Caenorhabditis elegans: one gene and its partner. The protein of the gene in region 2 interacts with the protein of the main gene of each other region in a biochemical or structural test. Each region holds a gene or a part of one and is shown on either strand. Other genes may lie near its edges.

Region 1 (9,573 bases), on a different chromosome or scaffold from region 2:
CGAGAAAATTGAATTGCGTTGGTGTTCAATGTTTTTATGCCGTAGATTAGTAGTTATCTGAATCAGTTTTGTCTATACATTTTCTTTTTCAACTTGCGTTGATTTCCACGTACAACTTATTCATTTTCATGAAGAACAATTTATTTGTTATCTTCAATTGTCCATCTTTTGCCTTTGCTCCTTCCAATTTCTTGATTTTTTTGTTTGTACGTCACTTCACATAGCTTCTCCTTTTTCTTTTTCTTCTACCAAATTGATAATTGATGAGTGGCGGAGCACCCAGTGGAGTAGTGTGAGATTTACATGTATGTGAATGGGGGACTAGATTTGTTTTGTGTTGTGGATGTGTATTCCGTTTCTTTATTTCCATTCATTCTATCATCAACACATGTATGTTCTTCCGGGAAACTTTTTTTCGCACTGGTTCCAAAGTGCCCGTAATTTGCAAGTTTAAGCTAAAAATCAATTCATTGTTGGGCTTGTCTAGGAATTTTTAATATATTCCAGTATTTTCATTATTTATCTACTAGAGATTAAAGCTAATAATGAGTCAAATAGTAAAAGACCGATGGAAAAATCAGTTCCTGAAGGTATTTTTGGTAATGCTGAATCATCCATCAAAACCTTTTTCAAGGATTCGTAAAATTACTATAAAGTTTGATATTAACAACAGTTAAAATTTTGCAATATTTGTACTGACAGTAAGTTCACTAATTTCAATAAAAACTTTGTTTAAATTTTTCTTTTTTATTTTGCCGTTGTTTTTGTTGTGAAAATTGACCAAAATTGATATTTGTATGTTATTATTCAAAAACTAAAAAAGAATCTCGCCAATACACTTTTATCATAAAACATCTTTTAAAACAAAACAATTAAACTACGAGTAGCCACAGTATTCTCAAACACTGTGATCTCCTGATATTGTTCTATATGGTGATAATTTATTATTTTATTTACACTAAAACGTGTGTGGCGTTATATTTTCCCATAACTAAACTTTATCAGAATTTCAGGAGATCAAACAAAGAAGGGACAATTAGACCACATGTGGTAAACTGTTAATGCCATTTTTTTACTCGTGATTAATAATTATCAGTGACAATTCAATTAAAGTATTCACCGAATGAGCACGTTAGACGAATTCTGTAAAATATGTTTAAAAACTTATTCCAAATAATAGTATTCTGCGAAATTATTTTTGTGATTTTATAAGTCACCGATATATAAATTTCATTACGCTGCTTTTGAGGTATGACTTTAGATTTGCGTGGTAGTAACTTATAAATGCTTGCCATAATCATGATGATGACAATTGTTATAGGTTGTCGAAATTTATTTAGAAGAATAAAATACTTGTCAACTGGAAAGAATACATTTCATTTTGAAACATACAGTTTTGTATATAATTTCGTAGATTGAATAAGCTTCCTGACCATAGACAAAAATCTCCGATACAACTTTGTGGTTACTAATTTAGAGTTAAATTAGTTTAGCTCCCTATTAGTATTCTCTAGTTACTTCCAACTATACAGCTTCGTTGCCTAATTGTCAAAATTTTTATGAGAACTATCTAAGCATTGACGTAGGTTTCATTAACTTGTTAACTCACGGTTGTATGAAACAAATTTCAGTTTTTAAAGTGTTTTCGATGTTTCTAACATTTCTTTCAAGAAACCCCATATTTTTGTTTGATCCGTGCACTAGATTAAAAAAAAAACCTTTACACTTTGGCTTTTTTCTGTTTTCATATAAATTTGATCTTGCTTTTTTACACTAGAGGTCCGAAAAAGTAACACCCAATTTAGAAAAATAGCCAAAACAGGAGGAACGGCTCGCAATTTATGTGCATTTTTTTGTGTCAACTCCACCCCAAGGCTTCTTCTTCTGCTACTTCTACATCTCTACGCCTGTCCTCCGCCCATCTCAAAGTTCGTTTATGTCTTGGGGACCGCATTTTCTCCGCCCCTTTACTCTTCGTTTTTTCTTTATTTAGTAAAGAAGAGATGTGGAAAAGATATTCATACTTTCCTTCCGTCTAAAATTCAACTGGCTTCTGAAGGTTTCTGCTCAGTCTAGGGCCACTTTTAATAGTTCACAAATAAACTATTGTTCAGTCTTGACAGAAGAAAAACATTCAATGACCTTAACTTTATTCCTTATTTTTGTCATTAGACATCTCGCACTTTGCTCTTTACTTCCTTGCCTATTTTCAAAAGACAACTCATCGTTGGACCCTTACCCCCCGAGATTCAAAAATTGAATATTCAATTGATGTGAAAGAAATCATCTGGGCTACCAGAGACGTGCCTCCTGGATTTCTTCTCTTTCTTGATAGATTTGGAGACATGAACCCCATCATTGCCAGACCTGCACTTTTAATTTTTTTTTCTTATTGGTGATTTTTGGGCTGCAATAACCTCAAAAACTATTTTTTTTTAAATGTTTGAAGGTCTTCCAAAATATTCATGACAGAAATACAATTGTTCGTGTTGGTTAATGTGCTGAAAGTCTATGTACAACTTTTGTAATTTCCACAATGACAACTTTTTTTCGTAGCTAAATTTCACATTTTGTGTGACTTCCCAACTTAATTTTATTATTTGTTGATCACTGATTTAGGATTAAGAGTAAGCTTAATGTGTGCTTTGTGTTAGAAATTTTAAATATTTTTAAAGATTTTACTTTAAGAGAGAATAATGATGTTTTTCAATGTTTAGTATTGATGTATCAAATACATTACGTTGACAGTCATCTGAGCATTGGTAAAGAATTTCAAACTTTGAGCGAAACACTTAGAACTTTCCAAGCAAATTATATTTTTCTAACTCTTCAGATTCTTTCTGTTATCGAGTCTAAAAAACTTCAAAATTCAATTCCATTTTTGAAGTGTTCCGTGCCTTTTTTAGTTTTAAAACATTCTGAGAAACTAAAATCTATTACGTTTCAGAAAGTAGGACCATTTGTAGAACTACTTACAGCAAAAAAACACTTGAAAATTTTTGTTCTTTACATTTTAGCATTAATCCTTGGAACACCTTTGTTTTTACCTTCTTCAAACCGTCTTGTTGGCTTAAAAAATGTAATAAAAAACTGTTTTAAGGTGATCCAACTCCAAAAAATGGAGGCCGGAGAGACATGGAATGTCTCCCTTGAATGGCCTCCACCCTCTCTTGATCTTTCAACAATCACACAAACACCATCAACGATAGTCGGAAGTGGAATTCCTTTGAACTACGCTGGACTTTCTCTTATTGTTATTCCACTCATCACGCTACTTGGAAACCTTCTGGTTAGTTAGAGTTCAATTGTCAGTTAAAAAATATATACAACTGTGTAATGTTACAGATAAAACTACTTGTTGATGTTTTTGATAAGAATGAAATCTTGAAAAATAAGAAATGTATCTTGATAGTCTAAAATTATCAAAGAAGAAAAAAAAATTTTGTCTCAAAACCCAGAAATTAGGGAGAAATCAGAAAACTTTTTTTTTTTCAAAAAATCGAAACATCAAACAACGAGTTCTTTTGTGCCTCAGTTCGTCTGACATTTAAAATCAATATGCCAAGATACTTCTTAAATTATCTTCGAAACGGTATCAAAATATTATTCAAAATTTGTGAACAAAGAACGATTCCTTGCGATTCTGGAGCAATGTCTTATAGATGTTCGTGTGAAACTCAGTTCCTCACATTTATTGTACATTTGGTTCAATTTCAAACTCCAAAGCACGTTCCAAAATAATAATAAAAAAGTATATTTTCTTTTCAGGTAATAATATCAGTACTCCGGTACCGAGCACTGCAATCAGCCATCAATTTCCTTATCCTAGGCCTGGCTGTGGCGGATCTTTTGGTGGCCATCATAGTTATGCCATACGCGGTTTATGTATATGTAAGTGATCAATTATATGTCTTTTGTTGGCAACCACAGCAACAGCTCTCCATAGCAGCATAGGCTCCCAATCTGCGTTTTCCTGAAGTGACGTGCTGTTCCACCTCTCTCTCTCTCTCTTTGCCTAACAAGGGAAACCGAGGTTGAGAAAAAACGAGAAAAGAGACATCAGCGACCAAGAGCAGTAATTTGTTGAGTGTCTCTCACAAGAGCTCCCGAGCTTTGCTCACACAGATTTATGGTTGTTTTCTGACGGTTGCCACGTCATAAGTTTTGGTAACTAGCTAACTAGTTGCAAACGTTGAAAGTCTCGTTGCATTTATAAATAGTACTAGAACACGTTGAAAATGAAAAAGAAAAGAACATCAAAGAGAAGAGACAAGACATGAAGCTGGTTGATGTAATCCCCTGACAGCTATCACATAACTCTATTGATGGACAGAGTGCCAAACGATACTTCTTTGTTAAGTTCCGTAGGTTTTCCCGTTGAAACAGAACTCTGCAAACTGACTTGACTTAAAAAGAATAGAAAAAGGGGCATGATGATGGATGGTACAAGGAGCGTGTGCGTGTGTGTGTGTGACGTGGAAATGAAGCCCAGTGGGGTGGAAAAGGGGAAAGAACGTGGTGTGAAAAGTGTCAAATTAGATGCACGGAAAGCCGTATTTATTGCTTCCTAGATCCTTCCAACCACGAAGGCTTTTCCTTTTTTTCCGGTAGATTAGAGAAAGCGTCAGGAGTGAAGAATAATGGAGAATTAGGGTAATGCGTATCAGATTCTGCAGAAAAAAGCAATTGAATAATAGACTTTGAAATTGTGTTTCAGTTGGGAAATTTCCATCGACAGTATAAATGAACACCATAATTACTATTGTAGTACAAAAACTAAAAATACCATATATTCTATTTTAGTGCTGCATCGCACTATTCCATTTTGGAAAGGTATATCTCGGTTTATTTTGAAGATATCAAAAATTACTGTTCTACAAAACTATAGAAAAAGAATTCAAAATGATTTATTCATTTGACAATTTTTAATAAAAGAAAAGATAACCGAAAGTAGTCAAAGCAATGGTGTACAGAAGTAAAGAATATACGTTATTCGTTTTTTCAACTGTCCATTAATTTTCCCTAATTTGCAGGTCACCAACGGCGACTGGTATCTAGGAAATCTAATGTGTGACATTTACATGGCATCTGATGTGTGCTGTAGCACAGCTTCTATTCTTCTTCTTGCCGTAATTTCATTCGATCGGTGAGTCGGGAGTTTCGAGTCATCTGAATAGAAAATGAACGTGTGGCTGTTATTCAACCAACCATTTTTTCTTTGTACTCATTTTTTGCATTCAGAATATGACGGGGAACAGCAAAGATCGTGGGAAAAATGTTAAGAGCATAAATCTAAGTATTTTGCTAAAATAAAAATGCACAGTTTTCTACAAAAAACTGAACTGTTCAATTATTTCAGATACCGTGCAGTCTCTTTACCAATTCAGTATTCAAGACAGTCACAAAATGTGAAACGGGTATGGACATTGATAGCTGTTATATGGTTGGTCAGCCTAACATTAGCCAGTCCAATGGTTTTTGGTTAGTTTCATACATATATCCTTTTAAAAAAAATCAAACTCTTCTGAATTGAAGGAGTAAACGTTCGTCCACCAGATGCTAACCCATACGAGTGTCGATTCTACAATGCTGAGTTTTCGATCCTCAGTTCTATGATCTCGTTTGTTATTCCTTGTTTTCTAGGTAAATTGAAAAGCCAAAAATGGTTTATTAAAATAGCTTCCCCGTTTCAGTACTTTTCGTCTATATTCGAATTATAATTGCTCTAAAAAAACGAGAAAAGGCAGCTAAAATGAGGAGAGAGAAGAACACAATTGCGCACGGTTTAACGTAAGATTTATTTGTTTACAATATTTGAAAATATTGAAATTACAGAATGAGGCCTGATACAGGCGAAGAGCAAGTTGACGAAGAAGCTGCAGGGCGTATTGTTGCTGGACCAGGTTAGTTTTCAAGTTTTTGTAAGATTGCATTCAGATGAGCGCACAAAAATTGACTAGGCTTTGATACTTTTTTAAGATTCATAGAAATTTCATAGAGAAGTGAAGTGAATTTTTCTCTTGAGTCGTATAACATAATTTATTTACTGATTTAACCTTTTTGCTTACAGTAATCTTATCGTAGCTTTTTGTGCAGCAGCGAAAACAGTTTCTGTGATTTTTCTTCTTTTCTATTAGTTTCAGATTAAAGCTTTAAATATTATATTTCAATGTCTTTCTCACGTTCTTTTTTTTTCAATTTTACTTCTCTCCTTCCACCTATTTTTTAAATTTTAGCAGTTTAGAATGAAAACTTTAACACATATGCACAATTTCCAACATTAACTACAAGACGAATTGAAAAGTTTTGAGACACACAACTTGGAAACTTATACCTTCCCCTAATATAGCTCAGTTTTGATACGATTTTCCCAAATTCCCTAGACATTTTTTAATTTCCGTTGAAAGTCGTTCATTTTTCAATCCTACATCAGCTCGAGCTAATTTAAGTTCTAGTCTTTCCTCTAAAATTATACTTTCCCTACACGTGTTTCGTCGTTTCCAGTGGTGAATGTCATGATGGCTGCTCTACCATCAATGACTCGTCGGATGAGACAATTCGAACGACATCGTCGCGCAATTGAACTCGCAGGTGATGAAGAATGGGAGGAAGATGAGCTGGACGTTATGGATGAGTGTTGTGGGGGTGACGATGCCGGTGACGATGATGATGATTATCATGCTGATAATGGACAGGGCGTCGTTGAGGCATCGGCACCTCGTACCACTTCCATGCTCCGAAGGATCATAAACGCAGCGTCTGTCGGAACAGCAAACTCGACTGCGCAGAGTGTTGCTTCAGCGTCCGGCATGCCTGCCTTCTTCGCCCAAAATATTTCCACCACCTCTCCGTCTTCTTCTTCGTGTGCTCGTACAACTACTACTACTTCTGCAATACCGAAGGCATCCGGTGATCTACCACTTCCTATGCTCCTGAGTATGTCGGAATTCATATATTCACATGTACTATCAACAGCACCGTTTCCTCATTTCTGCACAGACTATTGCACAACACGCTTCTACCACTTTCACTGATTTCTTATGTTCTTTCATTTTCCAGCTTCTCACTCACTATCACCTCAAGCTTGCAGAACGTTAGTTGCATGATTCATTATAGATAAAAAATGAAATATGGATATTTATTTGGAAAATAAAAATGTTTGCAGTGAAAACTAGCACGAAAGTTAACTCAGCTTGAGCATTTGGGAATTGCGTTGAGCATGATTTATATATTGTATTCCTTGAAAATATTCAACACAGTTTGGTTTCAGATGAAAGAGAATTTGGAAATAGTTCGACACCACGATCAAGTCTTGAATCACTTTCGGAAAATGTCAACGTGATTACAAATGATTTTGTGTCGGAGAATTGCACCACATTTTCAAGGTATGCATTGAAAATTTTACGAATATTTTAAATTTCGTCTCAAATGGACACTAAATTGCGCATCGATTGCTACTATTTTCGTAAAAATTTTGTAAAAATGTGAAAATATGCCACTAGAATGCAATTTATTCCAGAATATCTTTTTTCGAATTTTTTTCAGGGTTATTAGTACTTTTAATAACTAACTTTCTTGTGGCGACCCCTAAAAAACCACGCGCTTTTGGAAACACCATAAAATACTGCAAAATTACGGTAAAAACTACGTAGTAGCGAATTTGCAATAAATACATGAGAATAATTACACGAGAAGTGAAAGTGGTTTAGTTTTTCAACTTTTAAACCTATTTTTCACAATAGCTGTTGAACTTTTGTTGTCTGAAAATGTATTATTTTTGACTGAAGTATAACATATGTTTCTTCCCATATTTACTGATTAATTTTTTCAGAAGATCGTCATATGCTGACGACTCCCAACCAACATCGTCTCAAACTTCATCCGGAGATGGTCGAAGTTACAGTATCAAAGGACAAAAAAGATTTAGAAATTTGTCAAGAAACTATTCAACAAAACATCATAGAAAAGTAGTGAAAGTGAATAGAGGCAATTCTAGAAATAATTCAAGAACAGCATCAATGTAAGTATAGAGTTTGTTTGAAAATTTAATGAAATTCTGTTTGCAGAACAAATCAATCAGATGATGCATTGATTCCTGCAATTATTCGAACAATCTCTAGAAAAAGTCCCCGTTTATTCCGAAGAGATAAGACTGATATTAAAAAACATTCGATGATATTAGCCAATCCAATAACTGAACCTCCAAAGGAATACCGACGAGTATCAATGCCAATTCATCCAACAAATTCACAAACTGAAACTGAAACTATTTCTGCATCACGAGATATTGAAAATCTTCCCACTACGACAATTAGCAGAAGTACGACGGCAAATAGTGAGAATTATAAAGAATTTTGAAGAAAATTTATTTGTTTTTCAGGCGCAGAACTACTTGGATCACCAGATGATTTTGAAAAGTTTCCAGCGTTGATTACTGAAACAGTTTTAGAAGATGTATTAGCTGAAACAAGAGAAGGATGTTTTATGCAACCGACTGTTAGTTTTGCATTAACAGTTAGAGAAATGGAAGGAAATGCTTTGAATAATTTAAAAGGATGCAGTGTTGAATCGAGTCGACGTGTTTCGCAAGTTGATCCTCCCTTGGCCATTCAAATATTAACAAGACCCAGTTTACCACGTAAGTTTTTGAAATTCTTTTTTACATCAAAATATGTTTTTTTATTACATCAAAAAATGTTTTTTGAAACACTTCCGTACTTTGCAGATCTTGACCTCCAACGAATGGATTCAATTGGCACTACATGCTCATCAAAAACACGTGCCGATAGCTTAAGGTCCGTCGACTCGAAAGGCTCAAAGAAAAGCAATCGAAATGGGATTGCTGTCAAGTTGGTCAAGAGGGCTATCAAGCATGAGCATAGTTTGAAGAGGAAGGTAGGCGGATTTCACTTTATTCAGAAAGACATTCCAACTTTTTAGTGAAAAAGGGGTTTAAACACACAATTTCCAGGTCTCAAAAGCACAACGTAAAGAGAAACGAGCCACAAAGACATTGGGTGTTGTTGTTGGAGTATTTCTTGTGTGCTGGGTTCCATTCTTTGTTATTAATATTTTGAATGCAGTTTGCATTTTGCTCAATAAAGATTCGTGTCAGGTAAATGAGCTTTTCTCTTGATTCTTAATTCATATTTCTGAATTTCTCAGGTTGGCTATGATCTCTTCTTCTATTGTACGTGGATTGGTTACATGAATTCATTCATGAATCCCATTATCTATACAATCTTCAACACGGAATTCCGTCGTGCTTTCAAATCAATTATATTCGGCCGAAATTCAACACGCCACCATTTCAGTAACAAGCAGGCGCATGTCTAATATAACTTTTTTTCAATTTTCCATGGGTTTTTTGGGTGTTCGGGTCAACTGATGTTTATGATCTCTTAATTTAAAACTGAAACGATGTGCCAAAAGTTAGGAATTTTGTCTGATATGTACAAAATAAATATTTTAATTTTTCCCATTGAAATCTACCTCCACTTAAAGAGCTTCAATCAAACAATAATTAAGACGTTAACCTGATTAATTTGGGTTTAGTCGGAGTATAAAACCCGA
Region 2 (7,288 bases):
TTGGTTTCTGCGTTTATTCGTATTTGGAACTATGTAGAAGTCAAGTACGAACATGCAAAAACACGATACATAACCAAGATATGGGCGGAGTCTAATACATGCATCACACAATTGTTAGAAAAACAATTTTGATAATAAGTATTTTCTTAAAATATGCTCCTCCCATATCTTGCCTTTTTTTTTGGTGTTTCATTTTCTGAATTTTTTTGTACTTTTCTTTTTTCTCATTATACAAGATGTACGAAATAATAACTATCTTCGAGTAAATGATTATTTGAACTTTTAATTTTTATTCCTCTCTTCGTCTTCTTCTTCTTTTCTTCCTTCCGCTCCAAAGAATACTCACACCACATATCAGCATATTTTGTCGTTTTCCTTGTCTAGTTAAGACATTCATCTCGCTTTCATATTTCTCCGCTTCTTTTCATTTAACAGGTGCAATATTTTTTTTTTTCTATTAACAATAAGATTTTTTTTTCAATTTTTATTATTTCAACAAATAGGCATGTACCAACTTTGGCTGAATTGAAACTTTTAAAAGTTATTTTTCATTAAAAACTTTTTTTTAAAAAATCAATTTTTTACTTTGTTTGCCTATTCTGAACTGCCGAGAATTTTTTTATTTCCGAATAATAATTGGATTACGGTTACAAAACAGAGTTTTTATGACACGCCCGCGAAAAAAATCGAAGGTGAGTTTTCTTTCCTTGGTGTTTTTTTTTACTTTTTATATTTGCTTATTTCAAAGTCTGTAGAAATAATCCAAAGCGAAATTTATTGAAGACCATGATTTCTAGAAAAACACAATAATACTTTTTGTAGGGCAGATTTTTTGTTTTGAAATTGATTTCTACGCTGATCCATATTTGAGTAGAGGTCTATCAAAAACATTTATCACTTTAGATATCTCACTTTTCTCATAAAACTTTTTCTAAAAAATTACAATTCAATTGAAAATCAAATCACAAAAACTCAGAGTTTGGATTTTTGGTTCATACAAGTTGCAATTATTATATACATTTCCTATAAATTAACTTGTAGCCTTATCCATACTATAAACAATGTTTGTTTCTTTAAACACTTCACACTAACTTTTCTGATCGTTCTATAAATCTCGCAATTTCTTTCCAATTTTTCTTTCACATCTTTCTCTCATTTTTCAGAATATTTCTGTTTCCAATCCCAAAAACACAACACCCCTCTATGTCTCCATTTGGCGAGAACATAATTGAGTGACGCAAAGAAATTGGAAAATTGCCAATTGGATGTAGAGAAAACGAGAATGAGATACAGAATGGTGGCTTGAAAATAGGTGGAATTACTCACGGAGAGTAACAGAGTTGTGTTTTATGCACTTTCAGAAAATAAAAATGATACTGGTCTTCAAATTTTTTAAGTAAATTTTCGAATTTCTGCTGCATATTCCCCATTAAAAGTTGCATGATTTTGGGAGTATTTTTTGGGAGTATTTCGAAGCTGTACTTTACGGCAAACTAGCCTGAAACTCGCCATTTTTTTTCCAAAATTATTTGATAAAATTTAAATTTCAACGTTAAGTTCTTAGAATCAGATGTTCAAACTACTCATTTTTTAAGTCTGATCAACTCAAAACTTATCGACAATTAGACCTCTATGTATCAGTTTAAGTTATTTCTGTAGTTTTCATTTCGAAGTATGATAGTTTTTGATAGAAACAAATATTAGCATTTCTCTGTTTTACCTGGTGAACTTGCTAGGTGTGCATAAGCATTGGAAAACGTTCAAAATTCACAAACTGTAAAACCTGCACTCTATAAATTTGTAAAAATTTCAGTCATACTACTTTGTTGAAAGTATATCGATTTATATCTTTTATATTGTTTGTTGTTATTTTAAATTATGATCATTCTTTTGTTTCTACCATAAATTTTAATATTTATCTCGATTTCCCCGAGTTCCGTTTCAAAATTTCTTGTCTCTCGAGCGTTGAGCTCGAAACTGCTCATTAACGTTTTTCACGGCTCTCCGCCTCCTTCTTTTCACAATCCTCAACTACTATTTTCCATCTTTCGTTCTCTCTTATTTTTCAGTTTTATGACTGATAATATGTATAACTGGATGATATGAGTAGGTTATATCTCTGGAGTATTAATTAATTTCATGTTACTTAAGAGCCCTTCTTCTTACTTTTCCCCCACATTCTTCACAATCCACCTCCGCGTATACTATTTTCCGTGAATATTTTTGTGTTGGTCTTTATATCATTTTCGCCGTATTTCAGGACATTATAGTTGAGATTTATTAATGGCGTTTAGTTGTTTTGACAAGTTTAGTTACACGTATTGCTATCAATGTATGCATGGACCAGACGGGTAGGTCAAACATTTTTGATAAGCCAAAATGTAGATTAAGATGCAACTGTATTTTTATTATTAGTACGGAAACTTATAAAATTCAGGTGTATGGTACCCAGCCGAAATGGAGAAGGAACCGAATTGTATGCACATTCTGAAGAGCTTGAAGCAAAACTGAGAGAGCTTGCCAGGTAAATCAGAACACTTTCAAAAACAATTTTTTTTTGTTTTACAAGCCATGTAGCTTTTGCATTTGTCTTGAAGATTTGTGTTTCTAAATCAGAAGTGAATATCCCACTTTTTGATATTTCAGTCTGGTATTGTATTTTGAGCCGTTAACGTACATTTTATGTTTCAGAAGAGGGCATATGGAAATTGAAAAAGAATTAGCATTGGAAAAGAAAACGTATGGATCACATATCAAAATACTCATTCTTGGAGGACCTTTAAGTGGAAAGAGTACAATTTTTAAACAAATGCAGTGAGTTGAAGGTTGTAAGAAAGAACAAAAGTCATGAATGAAAAAAAAAAGTTTGAGATGTAATTTGGAAGATTTTAGCAGTTGGTAATGATATTCGAAGATGTGCATTCAACCAGCAAAATAAAATGAATTCCTATTGACTTTTTCAATATTTCCCACTATACTCACGAGCTGTTCAAGTTAAAAAAAATTTGTTATCATGAAAAATCTGATACTGCAAAAATAGAGAACTTTACCATGTCGAAGCATGTTGGAGTCGCATCTCACCCGCTTCTTCACTCTCTCCCTTCTTGCACCTGCAGCCTTGTGTGAAATTGCCGTTCACATGATTTTTTTAAAGACGGTCAGGCAAGGGAATGGCAGATGCGGGTGTAAAGTAAATAGTACCACGTGGAAGAGCTCGATCACAGCTTTGACATTGCGGACTAATGGTGCACACAACGCCAACGAGATCGGGTACAGTGGCCACATTACGACTTGCAGCCGGTCGTTACGTGCTCATTGCGATTGATGGTTTTGTGATGTGCATATTTGAGCTCACTGAAGGATTGTGCACATTTCAAATCAACTGGTGTACTCAATAGCTGCATTTTTTTAATTTCAGAACCACATTAAAATAAATGAAAGTTTGCAATGCGTGACTGGGTTTTGAAACCTGGGGTTACGGCTGGGTTTGGCAAAGATTTTAAATGTTTTGTAAGACTTTTGAAAATAAGATGCATGTACATGCGCACAATCTAAACGTATCTTTTTTCTCAGAATTATTCACGTCGACGGGTTCAAAACCGACCAAGAATTAATACAATATAGAGGACTTATTGATAACAATATAAGGGATATATATCTACAATTAATTGCTGGTTCACGTGTAGTTGGTATACCTCTGGATCCAATTGAACATATTACATATGAAATTGATGAAATCTATGCTCCAATGTCTGATGCATTTTCTGTTCGGACAATATCAGAACTTTTGGAACCTTTGACAGAGTTTTGGAATTCCAAACAAATTCAGGAGATTTATAAGAGAAGATGCGAGTTCGAGTTATTGGATTCAACTAAATAGTGAGTGATTATAGTATAGTTACAGATAAGTAATAATATAAATTTAAGTTATTTGGAGAATCTTACACGAATAGCTGACCCAACATATTTACCTAATCAGGAAGATATAGTTCATTCAAGAAAAGCCACGATGAGCATTAACAGCATTGTGTTTGAATACACTGGAGTCTCATTACTGTAAGTCTTTTTTTGCTTTTAATATAAATTTAAACCATTAAATGAGATGTGGAGAAGTATACATTTAGCGATTTTTATTGTTGAACATACACAATTTCTGGTTTAGCAACATCCTAGTGAAACTGAAAATTTTAGATTTTTTCCTCTTTTATTTCAGAATGATTGACGTGGGTGGTCAAAGATCGGAACGAAAGAAATGGTTGCATTTGTTTGATGATGCCAAGGTTGTACTTTTTGTGATTGATTTGACAGGTTATGCGAAAAGATCAGAAGAAAGTCGAATGGAGGTAAAATACTTCGAAACTTTTCAGTTTAAAATTTCTAGAACTTGGATATTGAGAATTGTAACATTTGTATTCAGTTTTTCTGGGCGGTAAAAATTTCCCATGCCAGTTTTTCATTGTGTATAAAAGTATAAGAAATATACCTTCTTCCTCCTATTCGAGGTGGATTGTGCTGCCTCCATTCTCTTTTCCTGTGCCCAGCCTTGTGTGCATTTTGTGAATTATATTCACGTTTTGCTGACTTGGGAGCAGACTGGTAGAATACCTAATAATACTAAATCAGTTCTAAAGACTATACTTTCAAAGTTTCAATTACTCAAGGAAAACATGAGTATAGTCTCAATCAGTTCAATTAAAAAAAACAATGTCTAGACATAAAATTCCCAATTGATCATATTTTTACAGCTAAGTCGATTTCCAAAATTCTTTCGAGACGTTGGATCAAATGCCTATGATATGAAAGTTGCACTCAAGATTTTCAATGAAGTTGCAGCAGCAAGTGCATTGGCAAACGCTGTATTTTTATTATTTTTTAACAAAGTTGACTTGTTCAAAGAAATTCTTTCACAGGTCAATCTTCAGCCTTGCTTTTCCAAATTTGACGGTAAGAAGCATTAAAATCAGGGCACGACATCGAATTTTGTTTATAAAAATGAAAGAACCAACTTTGCAATTTTTCTTTTACTATTAGTCACCAAGCTAAATAGAGAAAGTGATCGTAAATATTGTGAAGTCAACCGTATCAGCCTTTTTCTCAAATTCTAAATTTTTCGAATCTTGAATAATTTTTAAGCTCCAAAAAAAAATTAGTTTTACACAACAATTTTCAGGAGAGAATACTTACGAAGAGACGAGTAAATACATTTGTGAAAAGTTTATTCGAGCAGCTAGCTCGAAAAAATCAGTATTCCCCCATTTCACAACAGCAACAAACACGGAAAATGTTAAGGTAAGCGAAAATTACTGAGAAAAAAATTAATTTTTTTCTCATTTCAGTTAGTATTTCGCGCCTGCATGGAAAGTGTATTTAAAGCAAATGCAAAAGCAACGGGCCTTTCATAACTTCCTTTTAAAACATTAATTTCATTGTTTATCATAGACATTGTTCATTTCTACACATTTCATTAAATAAGTTTTTCGAATGAAAAAAAAAATGTAAAAAAACTATGAATTCAATATTCCCGAGTATCGATTTTTATCACACAAGTTGACGACAGAAGACGATCGTAAAATTAATCTGAAAAATAAAACTGAAAAAGTAAAATTTAAAATATTCCCAACCTAAAATGGCATCAAACGACTGAATGCTCGATTGAGTCCAGCGGCAAGTCTGAAATACTGAATATTCTCATTAAAAATGACATTTACCAAATTGAACAGTACCTCCCCAATTTCTTATCTTCCTGAGTGGCATCACTTTCAGTTCCAATTGTGACAACATTTGATTTCTCATTTTCATAACTATCCAAATCTGTTGTAGTGTCATCCGTATCTTCTTCCGAATCCGTATCATTGTTTAGAAAATGTTCTTCATAGAACGCAGATCCTTCTTCAAAATCCATTGGTTCAGATTCATCAATTTCAAGACGGGCATACATTTGTTGGAAATGGTTGAGCATCATTTGGTAGTCAGGAGTTGAGTCAAATTTAAGTTGGCTAAAAATTCCGACGAAATTTGGAAAATCAAGTTTCCCAAAAATTATAACTCACCGAATATGTTCATACATAAGAGCAATCTCGCGTGGACATTTGAAAAATAATTTTTTGCCAATCTTTTTCTTCATCTTGCTAACCAAAATTGTTTTATCCTCGTTATTCCATGGAAGGCTTCCCTGAAAATATTATTTGATTATAAACAGAAAAAATCAATCAAAATCTTACAAGGAACATTTCAACAGTTGAGTAAAGCCACGCCCACAAATCATCTCGTCTTCCCTGATCACATTCATCATGTGCATACGTGCTACAGTAATTGCTGGTGCCCATGAATCCTGGTGTTTTGCGAGCAGCTCGATGACGCATTGTGTTAGTAGAAGGGTCTAGTTCCAGCTGAAAAAAATCAGTTTCAGATACCGTATTTCTTATATTATAACTTTCTACTGCCGGTAAAACGATCGGTCTGAGAACGCTGTGATTCCGTTTTTCATATTACAAAATACACGGAAGACAAGGTCAGACTAAAAACCGCGATCTGTGATTGCTAGTGATACCATTTTAGTGTTCAGAGAGAGGGAGATCGTTCTATGAAAAAAAGACAATATGTAATCAACCGAGATATAATTCTTAAAATAATTGATTCCTTACATATTTTCGGCTGAATCCCAAATCAAAAAGAAGAATTCTTCTAGACGATGCATGCCATCCACAATTGCTTCCCTTCACATCACGATGAATGATTCCAGAAGCATGCATGTCACGAAGTGCCTCCAAAAGTTGAACAGAAAGTCGAGCAGCCGTGGATTTAGAAAAATGCTTGTCAGGCATCATTCTTCGAAGTCTTGAAATTGGACGAGCACACAGGCTCATAGCCATTATGTTCACTTGTTGCTTGTTCCAAGTCAACTGAAATTAGAAAAATGGCAAACAGTGAAGCTCAATTTTACTTTTAAACCCACTCGTTTAGCAGTATAAAGACGGCAAAACCCAGGCGACCACTGCAGTAATCTCAAAATATGAGCTTCATTTTTCAACGTGTCATCACTTTCTGTATCCACGAATTCAGTCTTCAGCGCCATATCAAATCCATTCTTTCGAACTTGATACACAGCACCAAATCCTCCGGATCCGAGTTTCTTAATAATTTCAAATTGAGAAATTACTTCTCCCGTTCGAAAGTCCGGCTTCGCAATTGACGATGAAGTTGACATTGATTTTCTCTGGAATTATGAAGTCTTTCAAGTAACTTTACGGAATAACCACTGAAATATCTTTAAAAACCTTGTAAGATC

Evidence for each region. Proteins that work in one complex are often made in the same cells at the same time.
Region 1: the proteins of gpa-14 (region 2) and dop-2 form a complex in vitro, tested with the Caenorhabditis elegans proteins (one study listed by BioGRID).

What each region holds. Positions count from the first base shown.
Region 1 is NC_003283.11:9,605,462-9,615,034, forward strand, and holds dop-2 (Dopamine receptor 2), read left to right. Parts: upstream 1-3,094; 5' UTR 3,095-3,118; coding exon 3,119-3,289; intron 3,290-3,768; coding exon 3,769-3,891; intron 3,892-3,945; exon of another isoform or gene 3,946-4,154; intron 4,155-5,033; coding exon 5,034-5,146; intron 5,147-5,359; coding exon 5,360-5,481; intron 5,482-5,535; coding exon 5,536-5,643; intron 5,644-5,693; coding exon 5,694-5,790; intron 5,791-5,835; coding exon 5,836-5,903; intron 5,904-6,504; coding exon 6,505-6,936; intron 6,937-7,270; coding exon 7,271-7,385; intron 7,386-7,831; coding exon 7,832-8,020; intron 8,021-8,066; coding exon 8,067-8,335; intron 8,336-8,380; coding exon 8,381-8,638; intron 8,639-8,725; coding exon 8,726-8,895; intron 8,896-8,971; coding exon 8,972-9,115; intron 9,116-9,165; coding exon 9,166-9,336; 3' UTR 9,337-9,476; downstream 9,477-9,573. UniProt on the Caenorhabditis elegans protein: G-protein coupled receptor which binds to the neurotransmitter dopamine with high affinity leading to the activation of an associated G-protein and downstream signaling pathways.
Region 2 is NC_003279.8:5,940,136-5,947,423, forward strand, and holds gpa-14 (Guanine nucleotide-binding protein alpha-14 subunit), read left to right. Parts: upstream 1-2,254; 5' UTR 2,255-2,283; coding exon 2,284-2,351; intron 2,352-2,437; coding exon 2,438-2,524; intron 2,525-2,691; coding exon 2,692-2,814; intron 2,815-3,573; coding exon 3,574-3,879; intron 3,880-3,927; coding exon 3,928-4,056; intron 4,057-4,213; coding exon 4,214-4,343; intron 4,344-4,745; coding exon 4,746-4,944; intron 4,945-5,170; coding exon 5,171-5,289; intron 5,290-5,336; coding exon 5,337-5,402; 3' UTR 5,403-5,516; downstream 5,517-7,288. Other genes in the region: B0207.7 (Protein kinase domain-containing protein), read right to left, coding at 5,622-5,670, 5,724-5,996, 6,051-6,172, 6,222-6,389, 6,645-6,902, 6,956-7,207. UniProt on the Caenorhabditis elegans protein: Guanine nucleotide-binding proteins (G proteins) are involved as modulators or transducers in various transmembrane signaling systems.